Linked DNA regions of Caenorhabditis elegans. The protein of the gene in region 4 purifies or fractionates together with the protein of the main gene of each other region. This does not show direct contact. Each region holds a gene or a part of one and is shown on either strand. Other genes may lie near its edges.

What was found.
Region 1: the proteins of wdr-5.1 (region 4) and sem-4 purify together in Caenorhabditis elegans (affinity purification with western blotting, with the first as the bait; one study listed by BioGRID). This does not show direct contact.
Region 2: the proteins of wdr-5.1 (region 4) and jmjd-3.1 purify together in Caenorhabditis elegans (affinity purification with western blotting, with the first as the bait; one study listed by BioGRID). This does not show direct contact.
Region 3: the proteins of wdr-5.1 (region 4) and sox-2 purify together in Caenorhabditis elegans (affinity purification with western blotting, with the first as the bait; one study listed by BioGRID). This does not show direct contact.

The regions. Positions count from the first base shown.
Region 1 is NC_003279.8:7,036,967-7,042,764, forward strand, and holds the start of sem-4 (Spalt-like protein sem-4), read left to right. Parts: upstream 1-1,933; 5' UTR 1,934-1,941; coding exon 1,942-2,017; intron 2,018-3,674; exon of another isoform or gene 3,675-3,745; intron 3,746-5,798. UniProt on the Caenorhabditis elegans protein: Transcription factor, involved in positive and negative modulation of transcription. Binds to multiple DNA sequence motifs in the regulatory elements of target genes, including homeobox selector egl-5 and LIM homeobox mec-3.
Region 2 is NC_003284.9:8,568,744-8,575,962, reverse strand, and holds jmjd-3.1 (Lysine-specific demethylase jmjd-3.1), read right to left. Parts: upstream 4,915-7,219; 5' UTR 4,890-4,914; coding exon 4,841-4,889; intron 4,569-4,840; coding exon 4,005-4,568; intron 3,865-4,004; coding exon 3,694-3,864; intron 3,641-3,693; coding exon 3,246-3,640; intron 3,199-3,245; coding exon 2,968-3,198; intron 2,917-2,967; coding exon 2,205-2,916; intron 2,159-2,204; coding exon 1,983-2,158; intron 1,926-1,982; coding exon 1,333-1,925; intron 1,273-1,332; coding exon 1,072-1,272; intron 1,021-1,071; coding exon 927-1,020; downstream 1-926. UniProt on the Caenorhabditis elegans protein: Histone demethylase that specifically demethylates trimethylated 'Lys-27' of histone H3, a mark associated with transcriptional repression, thereby playing a central role in the histone code.
Region 3 is NC_003284.9:7,457,017-7,462,885, reverse strand, and holds sox-2 (Transcription factor sox-2), read left to right. Parts: upstream 1-2,337; 5' UTR 2,338-2,375; coding exon 2,376-2,551; intron 2,552-2,629; coding exon 2,630-2,693; intron 2,694-3,134; coding exon 3,135-3,260; intron 3,261-3,331; coding exon 3,332-3,436; intron 3,437-3,488; coding exon 3,489-3,869; 3' UTR 3,870-4,604; downstream 4,605-5,869.
Region 4 is NC_003281.10:3,702,571-3,707,284, reverse strand, and holds wdr-5.1 (WD repeat-containing protein wdr-5.1), read right to left. Parts: upstream 2,001-4,714; 5' UTR 1,999-2,000; coding exon 1,885-1,998; intron 1,822-1,884; coding exon 1,564-1,821; intron 1,518-1,563; coding exon 860-1,517; intron 809-859; coding exon 708-808; 3' UTR 501-707; downstream 1-500. Other genes in the region: dph-1 (2-(3-amino-3-carboxypropyl)histidine synthase subunit 1), read right to left, coding at 318-398; C14B1.3 (F-box domain-containing protein), read right to left, coding at 2,329-3,022, 3,070-3,197, 3,246-3,513, 3,565-3,629; C14B1.2 (Conserved plasma membrane protein), read right to left, coding at 4,215-4,463, 4,513-4,644, 4,699-4,714. UniProt on the Caenorhabditis elegans protein: Contributes to histone modification. May position the N-terminus of histone H3 for efficient trimethylation at 'Lys-4'. Required for di- and trimethylation, particularly for the trimethylation at 'Lys-4' of histone H3.

The DNA.
Region 1 (5,798 bases), on a different chromosome or scaffold from region 4:
CGGAACTGCCGGGGGCCCAAACTACTTGCATCTCTATCAGTTCTGAAACGGAGTGAAAAAGAAAAAGAACAAAATGGGCGGAGTCATGTATGAGGGAGAAGACGTGTCGGTCTCCCGTGGCGGTCGCCTTCTCTCTCTCTTTTGCAACAACTCATATTTTACCAGATCATATCTCGTCCCTCACACAGGCGCCCGGAGCGTCAGGTACAAGAATGAGTACCTGGCGCGAATCGAATCGAATATGTCTCCCCTCACCACCACCACCACGGGGGTGACAATTATCATCAAATTCGTCTCGAATCATCGACGACGTCTTCTGATGAAGAGAGAAAAAAAAAGACTTTTTCTGGGGTTGACTGTGTTCATTAATTCAATTAGTGTTTTATCAATCATTCAACAAATCATGCAAGTAATTCAGTTATTCATTCATTGATTTGCCATTTTTAGAAATTTCTGCTTTTTTAGTCAAGTTCTGAGGTTGAGACTTTCTTGAGAACTTTCAATAATGTAGTTCCATTTTCACATAAAACAATTTCAACCTGCCATGTTATTTTTAATATCTCAGCTAACACCTTTCAGAGCTCACTTACAGAAGCTTAACATCTGCAAGACGGAGCAACCATTTTTTCTGTAGTCTGGCGTCGAGCATGATTTTTAAAAATGATTTGTACTAGAAACTAATTGTGACGCCACAATTTGCGAGAAAGGGACACTGTCACTTTATAGCGATATATGTATCTATAACAAATTTCTGGGTTAGCTTTGCACTAAGGCTTGTATCTGAAAACGTCCGATCCTCATTTCCTATCTAAATTTAGAAATCAAACTTTACAACTCAACCTAAAATAATTCTAGTCTACAAGATCTGATGACTCATAATCCGAAAAGCCTGTAGAACACACACAAACAGAACTCAGACCCCACCAAATTTAACGGAATCTTCAACCGCATCTCGCACTTTATATTCATACCGATCCGATCTTTTTTCCATCCTTTTTTTCCAACTATTTCAATTGCAACACCGTATCCACCTCATGGAAAAGGGGAACCGCTCACTCACTCATTTTATACGATTTTCATCTTCTACACCCTCACTTACTCACATCATCACTCACTACCTTCCCCTGATCATTTTTTGAGATATTCTTTCTTTACCCAACCATGAACAACAAAATTTCATATTTACACTCGAAAAAAATCATCCGATTCAAGATTCTTCTGCGGCTATACTCGTCATTTGGCGCGAACTGATTGCCTATGGTTGATCCAAAAATTACTCTTTCAAAAACTGACAAAGCTCGGGGCAAACTTGAGAAAGTCCTGGTTTATGATGTACCCAAATTAAACTCACGTTTTATCTAGCTGTTGTGAAACTTGTATTGTATCGTTTTAAACTTGGCTGAGACGCTGAAAAGAGTTAGATCAATTTTGGGCTGAATCTGGGTGCGGCCTAAACCCAGTCATATAACCAAGTATTTCGTAACTTTTGCAAAGACAAATGGCGAGCCGGTGCATAATTCAAAAATGTTCATTCCAAAAATGCATTATGGGCAAATTTAGACTATAGGCTCGCCGCTCGATAACTAGCTCATTCGAGCAATATCATTTATGATTAATGACTCTATTTTAAAGTTCAATTTTTTATCGTCAATTGAATTCCATTCCCATTCCCTTACTGCCATCTCGTGTCTTCAATACTTTTACCATTTTACTCTAATAATATAAATTTTGATAATAGCCTTGTTTTCGCAATATGTGCCCCCTTGTCCCGTCGCCTTCTCATCTTTCTAATATAAATCGTTTTTGTTCTGTCTCTTTTCTCTGTGTGTGTTGTTTTGTATCCTTTTCTCTGCTTTTTTCCCTCTTCTTGTCCACTATTACTCTTTCATTCTTTGCCTATCATGCTCATCTTCTAGTAATTTCAACTTTTCAGAGCTCCAGATGAATGAGCTGCTCGCCGAGATGGCCGCGGTTTCATCCCGCAGAAAACAGTCAAAACCACGTCGAATGTCTGGTGGTAAGTTGAGGGAAATGAGAGGAAAATGCGGGGTGTTTAATGAAGTAAAAGACAAGAAAATGAAACAAGGCGATGATGATCGACCTTGAAATCTTGAAATTTTCTGCGAAAATAACAAAGTTGAATATTAAAACTTAAAACGCACTTTTGGAATGTTTCAAAATCATTTTAGTTCTACATTTTTGAAGGTTTTTAGACTTTCTAGAAAAACCAGTTATCACTAGTTTTTATGGGTTTTTGGGACATAAGTAATGAAAATTGGAAGGAGACAATAAATTGGTGTAAATTTACAATTTTAATGTCAATTCCTCTTATCAACTTATCAATATTATTCATATTACTTCGAATAGTTTCGGACGAGACATTTGCTAGAAAACCAGTATTAAAAAAAAATTAATATTACCAAAACCATCCTAGTTTGGCATTTTCATTTAAATATAATTTATCATATATTTCTCGTTCATTCATTTTTTTAAGTTTTAATGAGAAATCTGTCACATCTGTTCCACTTCAAGGAACACTTTTTCATTAAAATGTTTCCAACACAGAACCTTGTCAAATATGATAACATATCTCTTATCTCTATCTCTTTCGTATCTTCTTACCTCATTTTTAGTGTTTTTTCAATGCTTTTCCTTCGATTCTTTCAATCATAACCAATCAAAACCTACCGTAGTCCAAAGAGCTCCTCCCGAAGACCAGAGACACTTATTATATTTCCATTCATCTTTTCATATTGCTCCGCCCCTCCGTCACATTTCCATCCAATCATAAGCGACTATGAGGAGAAAGTGAGAGAGAAAAAAGAGCAAGAAAGCAGAGAAACGAGAGAGAGAGAGAGAAAATGTCCAAATATGGGAGTGCAAGGGGAAGGGAGAAAGAGTTTCGGAGAAAAAGAAAACCAATCAATTTGGCAAGTTCTGAGACAGACAGACATGAGAGAGAAAGGATGAGAGCATGTTGAAAAGGGGATGACAATTTGACAATTTGAACTTGGTGTCCAGCTCAAAGAGCAAGACTGAAATTTGTTTTGAAAGTTTTTAGTAGATAATGTTAACCAAAACGAGTTTCACAAATATTTCACCTGTGACAATAAAAGTTTAATTTTCCATTCAGTACTGTCAAACATTTCAACAGCTGTTGACAATTCGATGAATGTGAAGACCCAGTCTCTTAGAGCATGACTTTGTATGCAGAATATTTCTTGGTACTTTCTGCCTGTGTATGTGCATACAAATTTTACAGTCGTATATTTTCTATAAACATGTTGAAATTTAAGATTAACCTTTTTTTATTTAAAGATATATAGGCTTACTATTAGGCCGAGGTTGCCTTGCAGGCACGTATGCTCAAAAAAATTTTATATTCATCTTTGAGAAAAGAAGTGTATCATTTGTATCATAATTTCCGGTATCAGTTGTCTCTAAACCACCACCATCAGCTCTCGGCTTCATCTTCACAAATCATTTTTTGTGACGAACAAGTGCTCTTGTGTGTGAGACTTGAGACTTATTGTCATCTCATCTCTCTGCTGATTCTTCCATTGGCTGAGCCCATTATTATTTTTTTCTATTGAAAGCCTTATTGATTCTCTCTTTTTTGTGCTTCAAGTGGCAACATTATTGTGTTCGAGGTCCGCGAGCCGCCGCCTTCGACACGAGTCGAGTCGAGCCATCATAAAATCGAATTTATGATCGAACACAAAAGAAGTTTAGAGTGGCAGGATGAAGACGTTGTTGTTGCGAATCAGAATTCTTCTTCTGTGGGTCTTCTCCCCTCGAAACTCGATCATTTATTATAGTGTTTTTGTGTAATACGAGAGAAATAGTGTGCAATATCAGAGCTTCCTCCTTCAACAAGCAATATGAATTGGTTGGACGATGGAGACGAAAATTGAAACATTATGTGTGTGTGTCACAATGTGTGTGTGAGAGTGTGTATTTGAGGACCAGCAGAGTATCATCATCTCATATATTTTATGGATTTTTGATGGTAGCAGAGGTAGATGAGTTGAAAAAAAAGATATTTGGGGAGGAGGAGCGTTTGGATAACACTCATTAACATTGGAGGACTCTTTATGAGCGCGTGAGAAGAGAATGAATGAGACTATTATTGAATGGATGATATCAAACCAACTGACTCGCACACAGATAAGATGATAAAAATGAAGAGTTTTTGAGTTTTTGCTCATGAGTTGCAGTTACCAGAGTACTTTATTTTAAGGGGCTCAATTACGATATTTGCACAATCAAACAGTTCAAAACTGAAAATAGATAGCGTCATGTAATTCTCGCCTCGAACGAAAGTTTGGGTAGTTCCTTTGAATCCAGTACTATCTGATAATTGAAAGATTTCAGCTGCAAAAGGCAACTCGTCACCAAATTCTCAGCCAAATTTCGCCAACTTCGGCCACTTCCGTAAATGGCACCTAGAAAAACGCTAAAGTTGGTTAAGAAATATCGTTGATTTTCCGAGCAGTTTGACGAGATTTTTTGTTTTAACTTTCAGCTGAAATTTTTTTGAGAGCAGATTTTTCGAGTCTATTTACTACTACTTTGGAGGACCGTAATTTTGCTCTTAAATTGAATTCGGAAAAAATTATAATTGTAAAGGTCTCTAGGGGTATGCAAACATTTTGGAATATTTTTGGAAATTTTAATTTAAAAAAATTAAAGCCTAAAAATATCCAATTTTGAGCAGTCTTCCAGTTCTCAAAGAAATGAATCATTCACTTTAAAAATTTTCAAATTGAAATTTACTTTATACAGTTAATGTACAGCGACATTTTGTGTGGTTACCCAAAATTATATTAAAACAATTGAAGATATCTAGAAAGTTCAAAATTTGTTGCTTCCAGTGTTTTTTGAAGAAACAGGATTTACTTTGGATCTTTTGATCTAAATACTTGAAGTTGTCGTTTTGCTTCGATGTTTTAATTTGTTCGTTTGAAAACTTCAAATTATGTCTCTAATTGTACAATCATAGTCCCCTTTCTCAATCGGCCGTTATCATATTTACAGTATCCTCCATCTTTCCTCTGTAGACACATCGTGTCCCAATCGACTCGAATTAGTTGTAATATGCGGAAAAGTTAATCAAATCATGCCCTTTTTGTCAATAATCAATCGTTGACATCGTCTTAATTTTTCCGTTAAACCCACCTCCTTCTTCGTTTTTTGCTGCCTTTTTCGTAATGTTTATTAGAGCGTACTTAACCTTTTCACCCCCTCATTTTCATTCCTTTTCTCTAATTTTGGCTAATTCTCGCAATTATTTTTCAATTTTTTTGTTCAATTTGAAACTCTTAATGTTTTGTTGCGACCCGAAGACGTCGTTGTTGGGAGAAGGGGATGAAGTTTTATGTGTTTCCGACGCCTTCTTCTTCTTTTGATCATTTACCGTTTTTACAATTTTTTATGACATTTGGAAGGAAGGTTGTTGCTTTTTGGAGAAGTTTTATTTTACTATTAAATTGGTATATAGATGACTTTCTATTTAGGGACGATACTCTCTGTTTTATTGATAACTGAAGAATGTGGAACAGGAGGAGTAAGATTTATTTTTTGCCTAGAAGTTAGGGGGACTGTGAGGTGCAAAAAACTGAAATTGACCAACGTTCAATTCTGAAAATTCGGAAGTTGGAAATAATAGGGCTCAACATTTCAGCCGTTTGCTCATATGTCCAAATGGCAATAGACAGCTGAGCAGAAATATACTCGAAATGAAAAAAAACTAAAATAATTCAGAATTTTCAAAATTTTGCAAGATTAATAAAAAGAAA
Region 2 (7,219 bases), on a different chromosome or scaffold from region 4:
TTGCTGATTAAGTTTAGTGAGTGGCGAAACTCGGAAATTGTCGGCCGGCGTGGAAACCTACCGCCAAAATATTTTCAAAAAATTAAAATTTTAAATTCCCGCCAAAATGTTTTCGAAAAATTAAATTTTGAATTTTCGCCAAAATATTTTCAAAAAATTAAAATTTTAAATTCCCGCCAAAATGTTTTCGAAAAATTAAATTTTGAATTCCCGCCAAAATATTTTCAAAAAATTAAACTTTTAAATTCCCGCCAAAATATTTTCAAAAAATTAAAATTTAAATTCCCGCCAAAATGTTTTCGAAAAATTAAATTTTGAATTCCCGCCAAAATATTTTCAAAAAATTAAAATTTTAAATTCCCGCCAAAATGATTTCTCAGAAAATTTGAATTTCCCGCCAATTTGTGATGACGTCACAAAAGGGGCGGGGCTATAGGACCCCTCTTAGGTGATTGAGACTACAAACTACAGAGTTCAAAGACCAAAGATCAAAGATCAAACTACATAGGGACAGAAGGACACGCGCTTTATATATAGTAAATGATTTAATTTTCAATATTTTTAACATTCTTTGAATAACATTCTTTGATAAAATACACCGATAATTGCAGAGATAGCGAGAGCGAGGAGTGTGATGGATAAACGTGAGAAGTCAGGGACCATTTGATGGAAAGAATCATAATTAAGGGGCGAGGTACGTTTTTCTTCGAAAGAAATTAGGGATGTAATTGAGATAGAAAGGCTTGAGTTGGAAATTTTGAAAGTTGATTTCGGGAAAACAAATGCTAAAAATGAAAATTGAAAAAAAATACAGAAAAACAGCATTTAAACGCTGTAAAAAACTAATAGAACATCATAAAAGAACGTTAAAATTTGAGGAAAAATCCTAGAAAACATATTAGAAGGCACCATTGTTGGATAAATATTTAATTAGGAACGTAGGCATCAAAAATATTAACCAATGTTTCTAATGAAAAGAACCATGTGTACTTGAGGAACCTGTCCTTTTTGTATTCGTTTCTGTAAAACACACTGTTCATTGATGATTCATTGATCCTGAATAAAACTCACGCTACATGACAATGAGAGCAGAAGGGGTACGAATCTACTGATAAGTCCTCTGTGGTGTACCATCTGACAATGTTGAAGATTTCAGATGTACAGTATTTACATCGTTGAACGCGATCAGCAAGCTTCCATTCGCTAGCGTCTCCAACAATGTAGTCATGATGATCAATAAGATCAAAGTACCACTTTGAATGGGCAAGTGATCTGAAATTAGATTGAGCATTGTTTAGAAAATAGCAAATTTTTATTATCATATGTACTAACCTGATCATGACACCGCGCATGGCTTTATACATCTCGGGATCGTCGACGAAAAGCCTCTGACGTGCAGCATTCCAAACGAGATTTACCAATGGAACATGCGCCTGGTTCCCAATGAGCATATTGTGATCGTGAGCCACTATTGAGGTAGCCAGCTGAGTGAAGTTTGGCTGTCCGACATTCCAAGATACATTGATGCAGAAGCTATTGCTCTGCACCCAATGGAAACATCCAGTATTGACATATACCATCTCGTCAGCTTTTTGCTCGAATTTAATTACAGGAACTCCCAGCTCCAGTAATTCCTTTTCGCTTGGCCAATAGTCTTGATCCTGGTACTTGTGCCCGTGCTCTCCAATCATAAACTCCAGCTGCCCCCAATACTCGTACGGCACAGCAAACCAGACGCACGTTCCCGGACCGCGGTTCCAGTTGATGCTAGCCATGAGTGAGTTTTCCATGTGTGCTGGAGTGCGTGATCCGATTGGTTTCGCGTACATCTGTACAGTATTGATGCCGAGAACGTCTACTCCTGCGTAGTTGAGCAAGTTTCCTTCACGGTTTGGTAGCAGGAACGTCGGCAGCTTTTCGATTTCCTGTAAGAACATAGAGAATTAGATAAATTATTTTGAAAAATGTAGAATATCACTAACATTCATCTGCTTCTTGAAATTTTCGGAAAGCAAGTCGATATTTGTTCCAAACTTGATCCAAGGCATTGTTTCATCACAGCCCTCAATTGCGTTTTGAGCTGCAATTCTCTCAGCTTTCAATTTCTGGCATGTGCTCTCTAATTCTTTTGCTGTGCAGTTTGAAATCGTTTCGAAAGCTTAAAAACAAAGATTAAAAATCTTATGTTCAAAAGTCAATATTACCTTGCATTGCTTCAGACTCCTCCTTCTGCATGTACCTCTCGAAATCTTGCAGCTTCATCTTAGAAGAGTACGATGTAACATCCCAACAACGAATTCCTTTACTATCACAGTTTCCATCGGCACTTTGTGGTACTTGGTTAAGAATATCAATGGATAATTCAGGATGACACTTTGCAATTTCTGGCAGTGAAAACAGTTCAGTCTTGATGTTCAGAGCCTTTGCGATTCCGCTAATGTTGGTGATGCTCGCTGAGTTCAAAATGCGCTCAAAATCCGACGAGAATACTTCTTCTTTGGTGGTGACTGTGAGAGTTGGACATGGTATGCGGTATTTGTGATAGTCAGTAAGATCTTTGACTTGCTCGTGATACATCGCTCTTTCCAGATCCAAAAGTGTCTTATCGGCAACCGGAGGCTGTAGTCGTTCATCTTTGTAAACGGCGTTGACATGAAATTCGAGTAATTGACCTGCCGCTTCGAGGACTTCTTGTGATGTACAATAGAAGTTGAGATATAATGGTCCAGTTAGCAAAAGGGCTGGTGGATTGGCAGGAACTTCACTTTTTCGTTTTCCTTCTCTTCGCTTTGGCGGTACTACTACACGAATGGTAAGATCTTTCAAATAATCCTGACAATGTCGATAGTTTCCTTGATCCGGGAAAATTGTATTCAGCTGAATGGCAGCACGCATGTAGTGAGAATCTTGGGTTTTCTGAAATATTAGTTTTTGGTTTTTTAACAATAATTTTCAATGCGGACTGACTTGAAATTGAAGAATGAATTTGTCAACTCTGTCTTGCCTTGATTTCGACAGTTTTACTATTTTATCATTCTTTTTAGACATGAAGTCACGAACAAATATCAACTGCTGAGCCATAGTCCAAGCCCCAGAAGCATCACGAAATTCAATTTGATAATTAATCGTCCGTCTTTTTGGTGGTCCATCATCTTCCTCATCGTCAGATTGGTTCTTTTTCATGCGGCGTTTTCGGATCTGTAAATTATGCATTAAACTGAGAATAGATTAGTTATGAAATTTACCGTATTTGGGTTTTTAGTATATGCTCTTTTCGTCCTGGGTATAGGGGGTTCGGTTGCAGATTGTTCCTTCTTCTTTCGACCACGCTTTTTTATTGGTGTAGGCTCCCTTGTTGCATCAGAAGAGCATGAAGGAGCGGAAGAGTCCAATCCAATGTCAATCGACGTGCGGGGGCAATAATCATCTACACTTCCTGCATTAGATTCCGTTTGATTAGCCACAGAGGTTGTTTCTGTAAATTCGCTTGAAGTAGAAGCAGGTTGATAATCAAGCGATTCGTTTTTAGGACTCCATGATTTTTGGTCATCGTCAGAAATTTCTGAATCTCCAGAAGTTGTCCCAATCGAACTTCCGACACTGTTGGTATGCTGCACAGGCACAGGTTTCAACGTCGTTTCTGAAAAAAATATTATCGTTCAGAAATTAATAACTGGTAACTGTTGCTCTCACCATTGTCACTGAGTGATTTCTCAGTTTTCTCCGAGATCAGTTTTTCAAGATGCTGATTGTTGCCAATTTGTTCAGTCATATCAGAGAGCTTGTCGTTTGAACCACTGCCAATGAGAACATCAGGCGTTTCGACTTTTTCCAAATTTTTTGGTTTTGAAACTACATTGCTGTCTGTAAATGTTCCCAGTAAGTATTAGAATGTTTCCAAATTAGTTTAACTATGTATTTTGTTTCAATTTTTCAAAAGCTATCAAAATCATAGTTACATCAAAGAATGAAAAAAATATTTTATACTTAAACAATCTACTAACCATTCATAATCACATCGCCCGAAATGATTTCTTCAGAATCCGTAGAAACGTGTACTGTCGGGAGAACAACGTCTTCAATGTTGCACTCAGTTTCACTATTGATCAAATCTTTAAAATCTTCACTCTCATTTCCTTGTTCTGAATGGGCCTCTGGGCATGCTTCGAAAACGCCATTGGATTCTTGGAGCTGATCAGCAAAGTTATCAAATCCTGCAATTCGTATAGCCTCGTTGGTAGATCTGCAATTCTGGTCAGTAGAACTCTTTGGAGATACTGTCAACGATTCAATGGGAAGATTTTTCTGAACATCTACAACCAGCTCATCCTTGAAACTATCGTTTTTGAGTGGATTCAACACAGTATCAGAATACACGCCAAGGGTTTGATTTTTAAAATCAAAGCTTTTAGGAGCATCTTGCTCTTGATCAATAGTCTGAGCTTCCGGTTGCTTGGTCGAGTTGAATTCTACTGGCCTCATGGTGGAGTTCATTCCGGGAAATGGTGGAGTTTCCTGTGAGTTTTTAACCAATGACATACTTCTTGGGCTTGCTCCGAAAATAGTAACTAAACATAAGTAGTATAAGATGAGGTAGCAAAAATTGAAAAGAGGAATGCTGCCCGCGTTTTTAGGTGTATAAATTTGCGGAAACGTGCACTCGTGCTTAATTAATTAGATACCTTGCTTGTTAATCTTTAAATATCAAAGTCATATCCGTATTAAAATATGACTAATGTAATTGAATCTTATGTAGAACTTTCGCATGAATGCACTAATCTTTTCAGTTCGACTTTTGGTCGCCAACTGGTCACTATAGCAAAAATGCAAAGTAACTCACAATGTGTAGTTCCAGTTATTCCAGTCAAGTGTGAATTTTTCCCTTGCATACGATGGTAAATGCTGGGGAACAAACTGTAAATATGAGTTTATAGGTGGGTAGGTAGATCCAAGAAGCGATTATTGAAAAAAAAAGAAAACAGTTCGGACAAAAAATTTGTAAGAATTTAATTAGGCACGTGAGAAAGCCGAAGTTCTAGTTAGGCACTTCAATGATAATGACGTAGATAATTAAGATGTAACTGAAAAGGTGCCAATCTAAAATAAGGGTTTAAGTTTACTCAAATACACATGTATAAACCAGGTCAAATCCATTTATTGAATCAAGTTAATCATGAGGAGATAAGCAGGAAACACGATGCGTAGGTGAGAACATTGCCAGGCTCTGAATAATTTTTTAAAGCTTGAGTTGAAGTGATAAAAGCAGATCGAAAAAGCAAACATTTTAGTTTGATTAAATCTCAAATTTAGAATCCCATCAAACTATTAATAGAGAGTACGTGCACATTTGTAGACATTCCCGGATCTTTACATAACTTAAAGTACATATATCTGCCCTTTTCATGAACTTTGGCATTATCTATGCATTCACAGTATTATTGGTTAATCCAGCTGCCATTTCATTTTTGTCTAGGGTTAATTTTAGAAAAGAAACACAACTAGAATACAAAATACAACAAAATAGTAAACTAGCATTTACAGTAGTTTTGTTTACTGCCCATCCCACGATGTCAATGAATGAAGTATGGACGAACGACGTCAAACGAGGAGGTAGAAAAGATAGCGTGGTTTTTTTTTCGTTTTGTTTTTGTTGTTGACGGGGCATACACTGACTAGCTATAGATGGCTGTGCGTTGTGCACACGCACGTAAATAAATATCAAACGAGGAACGGCGCTCGAGGAAAAATAAAGAACGAGACGTTGCTTCTCTGCTTGCTTGTTGGTTAGATATATTGAGACTAGCCACGTGTGAAAAGAACGCAACACGGCCGAACACGCAATCTATTTGGCTCCAGTCGAGTAAATAACTAAGCTCGTGAGAAGAAAGAGTGAAGGGACTAATAAGATGTGGCCTGCCCAATATTTAATGTATATGTCATGTTGTCATTGCAATACATTCACAAATCTACTTTTGAACATTAATTAGACAATAAAACTGAAATTTGCTAGGTTCTTTTGAATCAAAAATAAAACAATTTGAAACAACACGTGTGTGAAATTGAAAAAAGTACACCGCTTTTTTGGTCTAACATATGAAACTAAGTAGCTTCTTTTAGTGTACAACATATACGTTTTTGATCAAACTAATCAAGATAAAAATAGTTAAGATTAATTATTTTCGCAACATAGTACGTTTTCCTACTTTCTCCTACTAGTTTGCTCAAAGCTATTTTCAACATGGCATGGAGAATTTCAATGATTTGCTTTACTTTATGAAATTATCTGCATAAAAGTATGCGATATACGGTATTGTAAACGTAGCCAAAAATTGAATGCCTATCATTAAATTGTGCGACTCATTCTTTGGCGCGGTGCGCAAAACAAACGGGGTGATAAAATATATTAGCTCATAAAGCAGTGAATTTTTACCGTCCCTTTTCATTGGTTGGCCTATTTGATGTTTGATTCAAAAAAATGGGAAGAAAAACGGATGAACGCAATAAATTGCAACGGGCTAGCAGAAGGCGGTTGTATGTGTGAGTGTGTGTGTGTGTGTGTGGCCTGCTTCCATCGACCGAGTTGACCGCCATTGTGGACGAGTGAAAGCGAGAGTAGAAGGCTTAGGAGCACTTTGCGAAAGAGCACATGAATTGAAGAGGGGAAGAGATGGGACCACCAAGAGCGATGTAGAGAGCGCAAAAAAGAGGGATGAGTGAAAGTAGGATTTTTTTAGGACATAAGGTTGTACAAGCGTTTTAGCTTTTTAAACTTTTTTTTAAAGCTTTTTTAAAATAGGTAGGACAAACCAATTACTCAAAAATTATCTAGAACCAATTAAGAATAATCAATTTACGATAAAAGGGAATTTTAGTAACAATATGCAATTTAAGAATATTTTCATTGAGAAACTGAAAGCTTATTTTTGTGAAGCACACAATCAGCCTAAAAATAGTACAGTTTTTATAGATGGAATATGGAAATAGTTTCGAATAATAATTTTTCCTCGGAGCGCGTATTTTGTCGTTGAAAAATATGAAATGATACGGTAATGGAGGAAGTGATGAGAATTGCTGAAAATAATAGAAACAATTTATATTATGCATATATAATAATATGCGGGGAGAAGAGGGCAATCTTATCAGAAGATAAGACATTGTTGTGCAAAGCCGATAAGGATAGTTAAGAAATGCCACAATAATATATTTATACTTCACGACC
Region 3 (5,869 bases), on a different chromosome or scaffold from region 4:
AATTTGTGCGCCACTGTCTACAGTCGTGCGTGCATCAAGGAGTCACGCCTGAAGTCGAGAAGCCGTCCCGGCGGTCGCGCACTACGCAACGCACACACCTTGATCGTTTCGACCTTCGGGTGCCCAATAGATCCTAAAAAGATCGTTTTCGTCCTCTTTCACTGTATAAACTACCCTCCCCCTTTTTTCTTGCCTAATGTCTCCTCCTCGACTACTCCCGTTTTTTGCTAACCATCAAACCTCCTTAACTCAATTGCTCGTGCAAACGATCATCTTCGTCATATATATTAAATAATATGAAGTCCCACTTTTCAACTTCTCATCATTTTCCCATATCCGTCATTCAGGCGTAAGCTAGATTGATTATAGATTCATCTCACAATATTGACGATGCATTTTTGATAAGCCAAAGTTGGAATAGGAAATTGGGAACTCTTTGAAAAATGACCGATAATCAAAATTTCTCTATTTCTTTTTTATTTCTGATACTTAAAAAAAAGCGTCCTGTCAACACTGTTTTTTGAATTCTCACGTCTTCCTGCTTACTTCGCTCTCTCCGTTTTCTTCCCAGTATTTTTACAACCAAACCAAAACCAAAACTCTGTGCCATCTCTTTTCTTCCTCTCATGACCAGCAAAAGCAGCAAAACTAGCGAAACAAGCCTTCGTCGTTTTTTTCTCTCCCGGATACTGTAGCTATGTGTATGTGAGAGTGCTTTCCAATGTGTGCTTGCTTGCTCTCTCTTGCTGTCCCGAGGTTTTTGCTCCATCGAGAAATGCTCGCTTTTTTTGCTTCATCTACAATAAACTTCCAAAATCTATTTCCCTGATTTCCTTGACAACAAGAAATAAATTAAATTTTTTGTATTGTACTGAAATAATTTGATACGGATTTGTAAGATGCTCTCCTGCCATTATAGGATATAGGTTAGGCGGCCCCTAATGCTATTTTACAACCACCTCGTCAACTAGGTTCTGGTTTTTCGTACCTTGTGACCCGTACCTCTGAAGAGCCGTCACTGCCATCATTTCCTTTAATGTCTGTCTCAGCTTTTCGCAATCAACAAGAAGCTTGCCAATAACTAAGGGATTATCTTCTCGAAAACCACAGATGCTCGTATCGCTCGCTTCATTTTGTCGGATTAGAACGGCGTCTTGAAAGGAAAGGTATACCTTGCCACCTTGGATGTGAATATAGCTTGTTAACAAATCTTCCTCTACCACCTCCCTACTGATGTTATCATTGTATTGAAATTTCTCCTCTCATCAGTTATCTATTGTTAATCAACCAGCTATTATTGAAAATCGAGATTTTATCAGGTTGGATTTTTCATAGTTTAACATTGATTAGCTATCAAAGTTACCGTATACTTGCGGGTCTCATGTTTTTTTTTCAATTTTTTCTCCAGTTTTAGTAGATCCATAACTCTGAAAAACAACACCAGGAACAATATGATTTGATTAAACAGAGAAGTGTCGTTTCCCAAATTAGCCGCCCGAAATGTTGAATGAATAGACAAGTGTTGAATAGATTCCGAGACTCAGTCTCCAGCGCTTTGTGAATAGAAACCTCAGATTATGAGCAGTCGTTTTTAATGAGTGCTTGAAGAAAAATAGGTTAGTTGCTTTTTTCGAGAAATCAAGTTTATAAATTAAATATTCAATTTGCGATATTGACATTTTCAGATTTGACTTCAATTTTGAATTAAAGCACAAATGCACAAACTGTAGTTTTGAACAATCAGAGTTTTTTGCCGCCTCTAAGTATTTTCCGATTGATTCTAAAGCTATAACTGGCTGTATCCGCCGTAGCAGGTGTTCTTCTCTGCGATACATACAAGAACTTTAGAATCCAATAATGTGTGAAATTGAAAAGTGTATAGTAATACCACCATCTCTTACTTCCTATTGCTATTCCCGAGGTGTTGTTCTGTACACGGTCACCTGCACATAGTTTACTTTATTCGTCGACGTCTTCCGAATCATCAACGTCGCCGTTTCTGCTGCTGGTGGAGAAGCGACGGATTGAGAGAAACGTTGTCATCATCATGTGAAATAGGTCCCGCCAGGACATTGCGTCGGCATCATCATCATCATACAGAGAGTTTTGGTAACGAGGGACAGAGAGAATAAGCCACGCCCTGGAAGGCGCGCGATGATTGGCCAAGCGGTGTTAGACCCGCCCACCCACAGTTGTCTGTGCACCTCTCGTCGGCGCCCAATCTCGTGAACCTCTTCCCCATCTTCCCTTCTTCTTTCTCCTGTCTTTTCTACCTCCTTCTCTTGCGCGATTCCCGTTCAAAATTCTATTGTATTTCATATTGGTTGTCTTTTGCAGTGTCCGGTCGACGTGTCATATCATTGTTGTTTAACAAGATGATGATGGATCCGGATTCAGCAAAAATGCAGGACTACTCGGGTTGGTCGTTTGGATTTCACATGCCACCAACATCTTCAACAAATCTTCTCCCGCAGTCAATGCCAGATGATTTGTCAAATGGGCCCGATAGCCCTGATTCAACAGGAAAAGACGGAAAGAAGAATGACGACAGGTAAGATATTCAGGTGGCTCTTCTGTGGAAGTGTTAACATCGAAACATTGTTCTATTCATCTATTGTTTCCGTTTCAGAGTGAAAAGGCCAATGAATGCATTTATGGTTTGGAGCAGAGGACAGCGGAAGAAAATGGCTCTGGTAAATTTTTCTTTCATTTTCTAACCTACTGTTAATTCCTGACTTTTTAAAATTGTATCTGATATAGTTTACTTTCACACTAAATCAATCATTTCCCACACTCTTCTATTGCATTCCTAATTAGTAAGACACAGTTTGCGTCAACGATTCGATTCGTGACCTTCTTGATTCACTTATGTCTGGAGAATCTTCTAATATATGCACATCGTTTTCTCGTTTAGAGTCTCTGATCCCTTAACTCACTTGAGTTAATCCTCTACATTTAAAATTATTTTTCTCATATTGCATTGAAAATCTGGAGAAAATAAGTATTTAGGTTCTATTCACAGAAAGTTTTAGTCATATTACCTGTGTTCGCCTAAATTTCAACATTTCGAACAGCTTGAAAGCAAACTGCATTTCACGTATCTTACATATTATATTACACTTTCATTATTCTAGGAAAATCCAAAAATGCACAATTCTGAAATCAGCAAACGTCTTGGGACAGAATGGAAAATGCTCAGTGAACAAGAAAAAAGACCATTCATCGATGAAGCGAAACGACTACGCGCCATTCATATGAAGGTTAGTTGGGGAATCTGGGTCGCCTGATACTAAGCTTATTGAATAGTGCCATCACAATTTGTTCTCTTCAGGAACACCCAGACTACAAATACAGACCGAGAAGGAAGACAAAGTCAATTAATAAGAAAAATGGAGCACCAATTCCATTTGGAAATTTGGACACAAAAACGCCATCTGTAAGTTTTCCTTCGATATTGAATACTTCATATATCTATTTTCATGTTTCAGTATCCGACGTTAACAACCAACTGGAATGCGACAAATCAGTATATTGATCAGTTTCGGTTTGCTCCGTACCCCACAACAACTGTAATGGATCAAATTCCATTCTCGTTGACATACCCAGTGCATTCGGTCCCAACTGACAACTCGTCGCCTTCGCAGTTCCAGCCATCTCCGATGAGCACAAATTTTGCTGGCAGCTACCTGACACCAAAATCAGAGAGCTCGCCGGTTGGCAGTGATTCTACAGTCGGCACCGTTGACTCCAGTCAGTTTCGTGCTTACTACGACCACACAAAGGATCAGATGATGTATCCGTACAGTATTGAATTGACTCATGCTCAAAACATTCAAAATGCTCTTTCCCAATCCCATGTTACCTCTTAAACACACTTCTCGAAAGAAATTGACCTTCAATTAGTTTTTTTGGTACAAATTTCAATACTCCATTAATTTTTTTCAAAACGGTTTTTGACTTTTGAAACATCTGAGCTTTTTCAATTCCAAAATCAAAATCTGAGGCAGTTTCAGAGATGTGCATTGCTAAATGACTTTTTACCTCTTATTCCCATTTCTCTCACAAAAAATTCAATGTCCCGTGTAGGGTGATACGTGCCCAGAGGTTGTTTCACTTCCCCATTTTTTCTCCCTTTAAAATTTTGCCAACACAACACTGACTTGGTATTTGACTGTTTTTGAAATTCTAATCAATATGTTTCGTATATTTGTTTCCTATGTCAGTTTTTGTGGTTTATCGGAATTCATTTTCTCCGTCCTGATTCTTGATAATTCTCACTGTTCTTCGATTTTTGTTTGCTCTCTTACCCATTATTTGATGCCACTTGTGTCAGCCGTCATTTTCCACGTTTCCCCAGTTTTTTAATCCATGCAACCAATTTATTGCTCCTAACTCTCATCACCTTCAGTTTTATTGTATATTTCTTTCTTGAAACTCCAATAATTATTCGCGCTTAGAAACCTATTTAGATGCGTCCCAACTCATTTCTGAGGACCTCATATTTCAGTTTTGCATTCTGAAATACCATGTTCTAAAATTTAGATGTTGATACCATCATATAAGTTTACAAATTTTTAATTTATCCATAAAATGTTGACACCCAAGCTTAGATCTGTAAAACCAAACGACTAAAAAAGATTGAAGCAAGAAGCAGTCAGTTTCCGGAGGCTTCTTTTTTTTCACCCAGATTTGATAAAAAAGATGCATTGGTATTTTTACTTGCACACAACCAACCAAAAGTGTGTTCTTTACTTGATTTGGTCGTTACCGAGAAGTTTATTTTGTTCAAACAAGCAATGGTGAAGTGAATGTATCAGAGGCAGACGAGAAGAAACCGAGAAGAGTCAACGAAAACTGTGCATATGAATTTCGCGAAATTGTCAAACATCGGGTTGTTGGTTGTCTCGTTTTCTCGATTCGATTTGCGCCTCGACACATACACACATACATACTGTTTCTTCCTGTGTGGTGAAGTTGGGTTGTGATGGAATCGGAATAGGGTGGTCTCAATTCCTCAACTCAAACAAAAATAGCCGGAGCTGCCGCCGAGCAGTGTATGATCGAATTTCGGTCGTCCACAGTCCGGCTCCGTGGCTCCTGAAGCACGCACGCGCGCACACTCTCATACTCATACACCGAAGTACGAGGTTTTGATTGCTGTAGGGAGATTTTGGAAAGTCATTTGCCCGCCAATCTTGGCCAGTGGAAAACAACGGGAGACTGACGATGCCCAACCAATTTTGTCCCATATTCATATGCATGACTTTGGCAAAAGCAGCACAAGTGCCCCTCAGACCGCACAGCAGGGGGCGTTCAAATAACTGACTAATATTTTTGGGAGCTCTGTAAGTTTTGGATGTAGTGAAGCTTTGGAAAGGGGGCAGTCTCTCATTTATTTTTCTGCTGCCTCCTGACTTTGGCTCGGCGTCATGATTGACTATCGTACACCTGAGCCAATTTGAGCGCAAGTAGTCCACTCACACACTCTCACTCGCTCGTTTTCTTTTCCACATACACACATGGGTGAAGCTTCCTACCGTAGTCTATCCCGGAGAATTTAGAGACACGAGACGCCGATGTGAAAGAGTGTTGTGCTCTTCGGGATAGACAATGTGTGGATTGCAGAGAAGTGTGAAGAGCCGATTCTGGAGAAGAAGAAGCTGCCTGAAGGTAACATTTCCGAGAGAGGGGGTCTCTGGAAAACACTACATTTAGAAAGAGACTTGATCTTGTTGTCTTCTTAACTCCGAAAACTTCCTCTTCTTCGATCTCATTTTTGCTCGGCTCTCACTCTAGGTAATCGGATTTTGAAGGCAGGGAGGTTGTGCGCAGCCCACCTTTTGTGTGGAATCACTCTCGGGTAATGGTA
Region 4 (4,714 bases):
GCAGAAAAAAAACCCTTTTGAAATCCACGTGGAAACGGGCTAACGATGGGTCTCGTTAGGTTTTTGGCGGCAAAACTGGATGTTCAAAAGTTTTCAGTTAGTTTCCCCGATTTTCAAGCATTTTTCGTTGTTTTTAATGATTTTTATGCCGAGATTTATGAAAAAATTTATTTTTTGACATCAAATCATTAAAACCAATTGAAAATGCTTTGAAATCGGGCAAGAATAATTGAAAAATTCGATTTTCGGTTTCTTAACCTAAAGAGACCCATAGTTCAGGGGTGGGGCGTTTACTTAGAAAATCTGCGATTTCTTACAATTTTCAGATCTTCTTTAAGATTGGGATTATTTGCAATTTCCTCAACTAGCGTCGAAATCTGTGTAGCCCGAGTTGCCATTCTAAAATTTTCAGCCTCAATCCAGAAAAATAAAATTAAATCTGAAAATCAAATAGAATATCGAAATAAAACGAATCAATTGAATGATCATCTCAATCATCCCACGGAAATTAATATTTATGGATTTTTATATTAGGAAGAATATATAAGGAATGACAGAAAATACGAAGTTTCAGAAAAAAAAGTGTCTGGCCACCGCGCCTCTATAATCAAGGAATATAGGAGATCAAGAAGGAAAAGCATATATACACGGTGACCAAGGGGTAAATATAAATCAAATTTTCGAAATTTTAATTAAATTTAAACAATTTAAACATCCGAGCGCCATATATGAATCTTGTTGTCTGGCTCGAGAGCTCCTGAGGCAATGATGTTCTGAACTGGATGACAATCGGAGGCTAGCACGGGTTCTGAAATGGAAAAAATTTAAATTTGCATTTTTATTTTATTTTTCGACTTACGTGTGTGTCCTTCAAGACATTGAACTATTTCCCGAGTCTGGAGATTCCAGATGTAGATCTTACAATCTTCGGAACCACTGATGATCCATTTTCCACCGGTAACAGAGAAGTTGGCGAAGATGCAATATTTGCTATTCTCGTGTCCAGTGTATTGTTTCAGGGTTTTTCCTTTCGAGAAATCCCACAATTTCAAAGTGCTGTCGAGGTTCGATGCGAGGATGTATTTTCCGTTTGGAGAGAACTTTACAAATGCCACCGGAGGATTCTCGTCGTCGACCAGAGTCTTGATGCATTGCCCATTGGCAGTGTCCCAGATACGAACTAGACCATCGTAGGATCCCGATGCGATGAGGCTGCCGTCTCTGTTGAAAGACACTGCTGACACTGGATCTGAGTGTGCTGGGAGGGTTTTTATGCACATTCCTGTCTTGACATCCCAGATACGAACGGATTCATCGAATGATCCGGAGACAACGAGCGATGATTGTGGGTTGAAATTGCAGCAGAAGACGTAGTTATTGTGTCCTTTCAAGGTTTTGGTCATTCTCGACGTTACAATTTCGAAGATTTTCAGTGTTTTGTCGTCGGAAGCAGAGACAACACAACGGCTGTCGGAACTCCATGCTATATCGTTTACACCCAGTTTGTGGCCGGTGAGCTGAAAATTTAAGGATTAATTGTAATTTTCATGAGCGGAAACATACAGTTCGCTCACAAATCATGTGATCCATGTTCCAGATTTTGACGGTTTTGTCCGCGCTGCTTGTTCCGAGATACTTTCCACATGGGGAAAATTTAGCTGAAGAAATCGATTTTGTGTGTCCTTCCAATGTACACATCAGCTTATAATTTGCTGAACCCGAGGCTGAAGCTCCGGCGGCGTTTGGATTGGGAGTTTGGGCACTGGCACCTGGAGCGGGTGTGCCAGTCGGATTTGATGGCGAAATTGAATTGGGAGAAGTCTGGAAATTGACTATTGTGAAGTCTTATTCAAAAATATACTATTTAACAATAACGAAACCTACAGATGGAGCAGGAGCTGAAGAACCTCCATCCGGAGCATTTGGTACTGTTAATTGATCGATTTGTTGTGTTGGCTGTTGCTCGGCAGCTGAAGCAGCATTTTCGCTGGTATCCATATCTGAAATCACAGCAAAAATCAAAAATTAAGTTGAAAAATGAAGAAATTCATTCAAAAAATATAAAATAGAAATCGTCGTAAGATGCAATGTGCGGTACGCAGAGGCAAGGGTGCATGCACAGCGAACACACAATTTGACGCGCAATGTTTTTGCAGTTTTTTTTTCGGAATTTCTTTTTTTTCGTTAATGAACTCATGTCATGACATGTATCCGTGTCTGATACGTGTTAAAATATTTATATATTCATTCGATTACAGATATAACAAACTTTTCCAGTCATACAAACACTTTATAAAACAGTTAAGCGAAAAATTGTCGGTGCATTATTTAATCTTCCTCGTCTTCATCTTCATGACGAGCCACAGCGGGAGGAATTCCATACATGTGACGACCACGACGAAAGAGTGGCATTCTAAAAACTCCGACTCTTGGCGGTACTTCATCATCGTCATCATCCTCGTCTTCAGCGTTAGGATTCTCGTCTTCATTGCATTTTTCGGAATCAACAGCGAGTGGTTTAACTATTGGCTCATCAGGCAGAATAACTTCGACTTGAATATTGGCAACTTTTGGTCCGTAGAATCCTCTCCAAAATTGTCTATCTTCACCTTCATTCAGAATAGTTAAATGTCGAATTCCAGACGGGTAATCGTCAAACTCAATTGTCCAATCTTCCCAAGGTTGACCAGTCCATTGAGCCCATTCCTTATTTACAGATTTATATCTTTTATGATCAGTGTTGCTCATAGTTTGTACATGGCCAAATCTTTCAATCCACTGAGTCTCGTGATAGTTCAACTGAGCAGCAAATGAGAGCCTGGCTGCACAATCATTACGATGATTGACTTTCTGTGTAATTCTAATTCTCGGGCGAACGTGATCCAAGATCCATGGGTCAATTCCAGAGTTCACCAAATCGATGAAAACACTGATTGAGCTCTCTGTGAATGAAAATACGAAGCACTTGGAAACATCCGGATGTGGTTCACAACCGTTTCCTCCATCTCTTTCCATGTGGATTCTGAAATTGTAAATATTGATTATTTTAAGAACAAAGTATTGACATACCCACTGCCATTCGCTCTGATTGAAAAATCATCTGAACGGAGAGTTCCACTTATTGTGTTGTCACGTGCATTTTCAAAATGAGAAATGAAAAGCGGAGTGATTGGTGAGTAGCCTCTTCCAGACAGAACCTGAAGTAAAACTTTGTAATTTTATTACTATAAAATGCGATAACCTACTATTTTTTTAATATTAAAATTAAAACTTGAAGTGTCAATTTCATTGTCTTCATTTCCAACAAACTTCTTCTGTGTCGCTGCTCTTCTCCACTCCAAAGATGGAAGAACATTTGATATATTTAAAATTCGAGCATATTCAATCCAAAACGAGTCACTTGATATCAAATCATTGAATCGATGGCAAGCCAATTGGCAGTTTAGAAGTGATTTTTTGTCCAGCCTTCGGAAAATTGGCGAGAAACATTCGTTCGGCACAGTTTCTGCATCTCTGAAATAATTCTAGGTGAAAAATTGATATTTTAATTAAGAAAAAACTCACATTATCACTGGAACATCGGTTTTGAACTGTAGACTTTGCATTATCGATGAGAACGCTTTAAACATTTGGGGTCGATGAGAACAATATTTTTCGATTTTAAAGAGAAGAAATGAGTCAGAAGGAGAGAGACGCAGAGAATGGAAGTCTTGCGAAATGCGCATGCATGTGATATTCGTGTTCCAAAAAACTATCACGCTGTTAATATTATTATTTTAAAGCAAAAATATTAATAAGAAAATATTCAATGCTATTTTGAGAATGAGAAAAAAACTTTCTGACAAAAATATTGAGAACCTCTAGATATTCAACTTCTTTATATATTTTATTTTTTTCCTCATCTTGCTGACTGCAACTTTTTAGATTAGTTGATATATATTTGTCTTTCTCTTCTCTTAGTTTTACAGGTTACGAAACATTGATGATCTTCCTTATCCAAAGATACGTGGACAGCAAGAAATAACTTGTCCCACTTTCTAGGTTATCGCCGCCAATACCAAGGTCAAGCAATTCATGTTCTTCAGATTTGTGTTTCTAAAAAGGAAAAAAAAACGAATAACCGTGTTTATGAAGAAATACTCGTGCAATAGGAACCTGTCAAATTGGAATAGATTAGTGATGCTATTTACAAAAATTTTGAACATGAATTAGAACTAGTGATTATCATCAAATTCCGTGGATAAATCACTGCGGAGATCAGGGTTCGGAATGGCGATTTGCTCATCCTCTCGGACTTCCAAAGCCATCTCGAAATCTTCATCTTGAACGGGACCTCTTGGAATCTCTCTTGTTGCAATACTGGTCAATGGGACATTATAGTCGGGGGAATCGTAGGCAACGTGTGAACTGAAGGTGTTCCGTTTCTTGCGCTCAGTTTTTCCTTCGCTCAGTGACATGAGTGCCTAAAAATTCAATTATCTAGCTTTAATCTTTAGTGTAATCATTTTTTACCAGCTTAATCGTGATGAAAACGTAAATCAGAGCAACGAGAATGATGTTGAGATAGACTGCAAACCAAATCCTTGTCGCCTCATCCTTCTTCAGATTTGTCATCAAGCCGTCCGACGATCTGCGCGACGTGGCCTAAAAACGGTTGTGTCAATATGACCCCTCCCACCGTCGATGTTATATACTTACTGTACTCTTTCCGAAA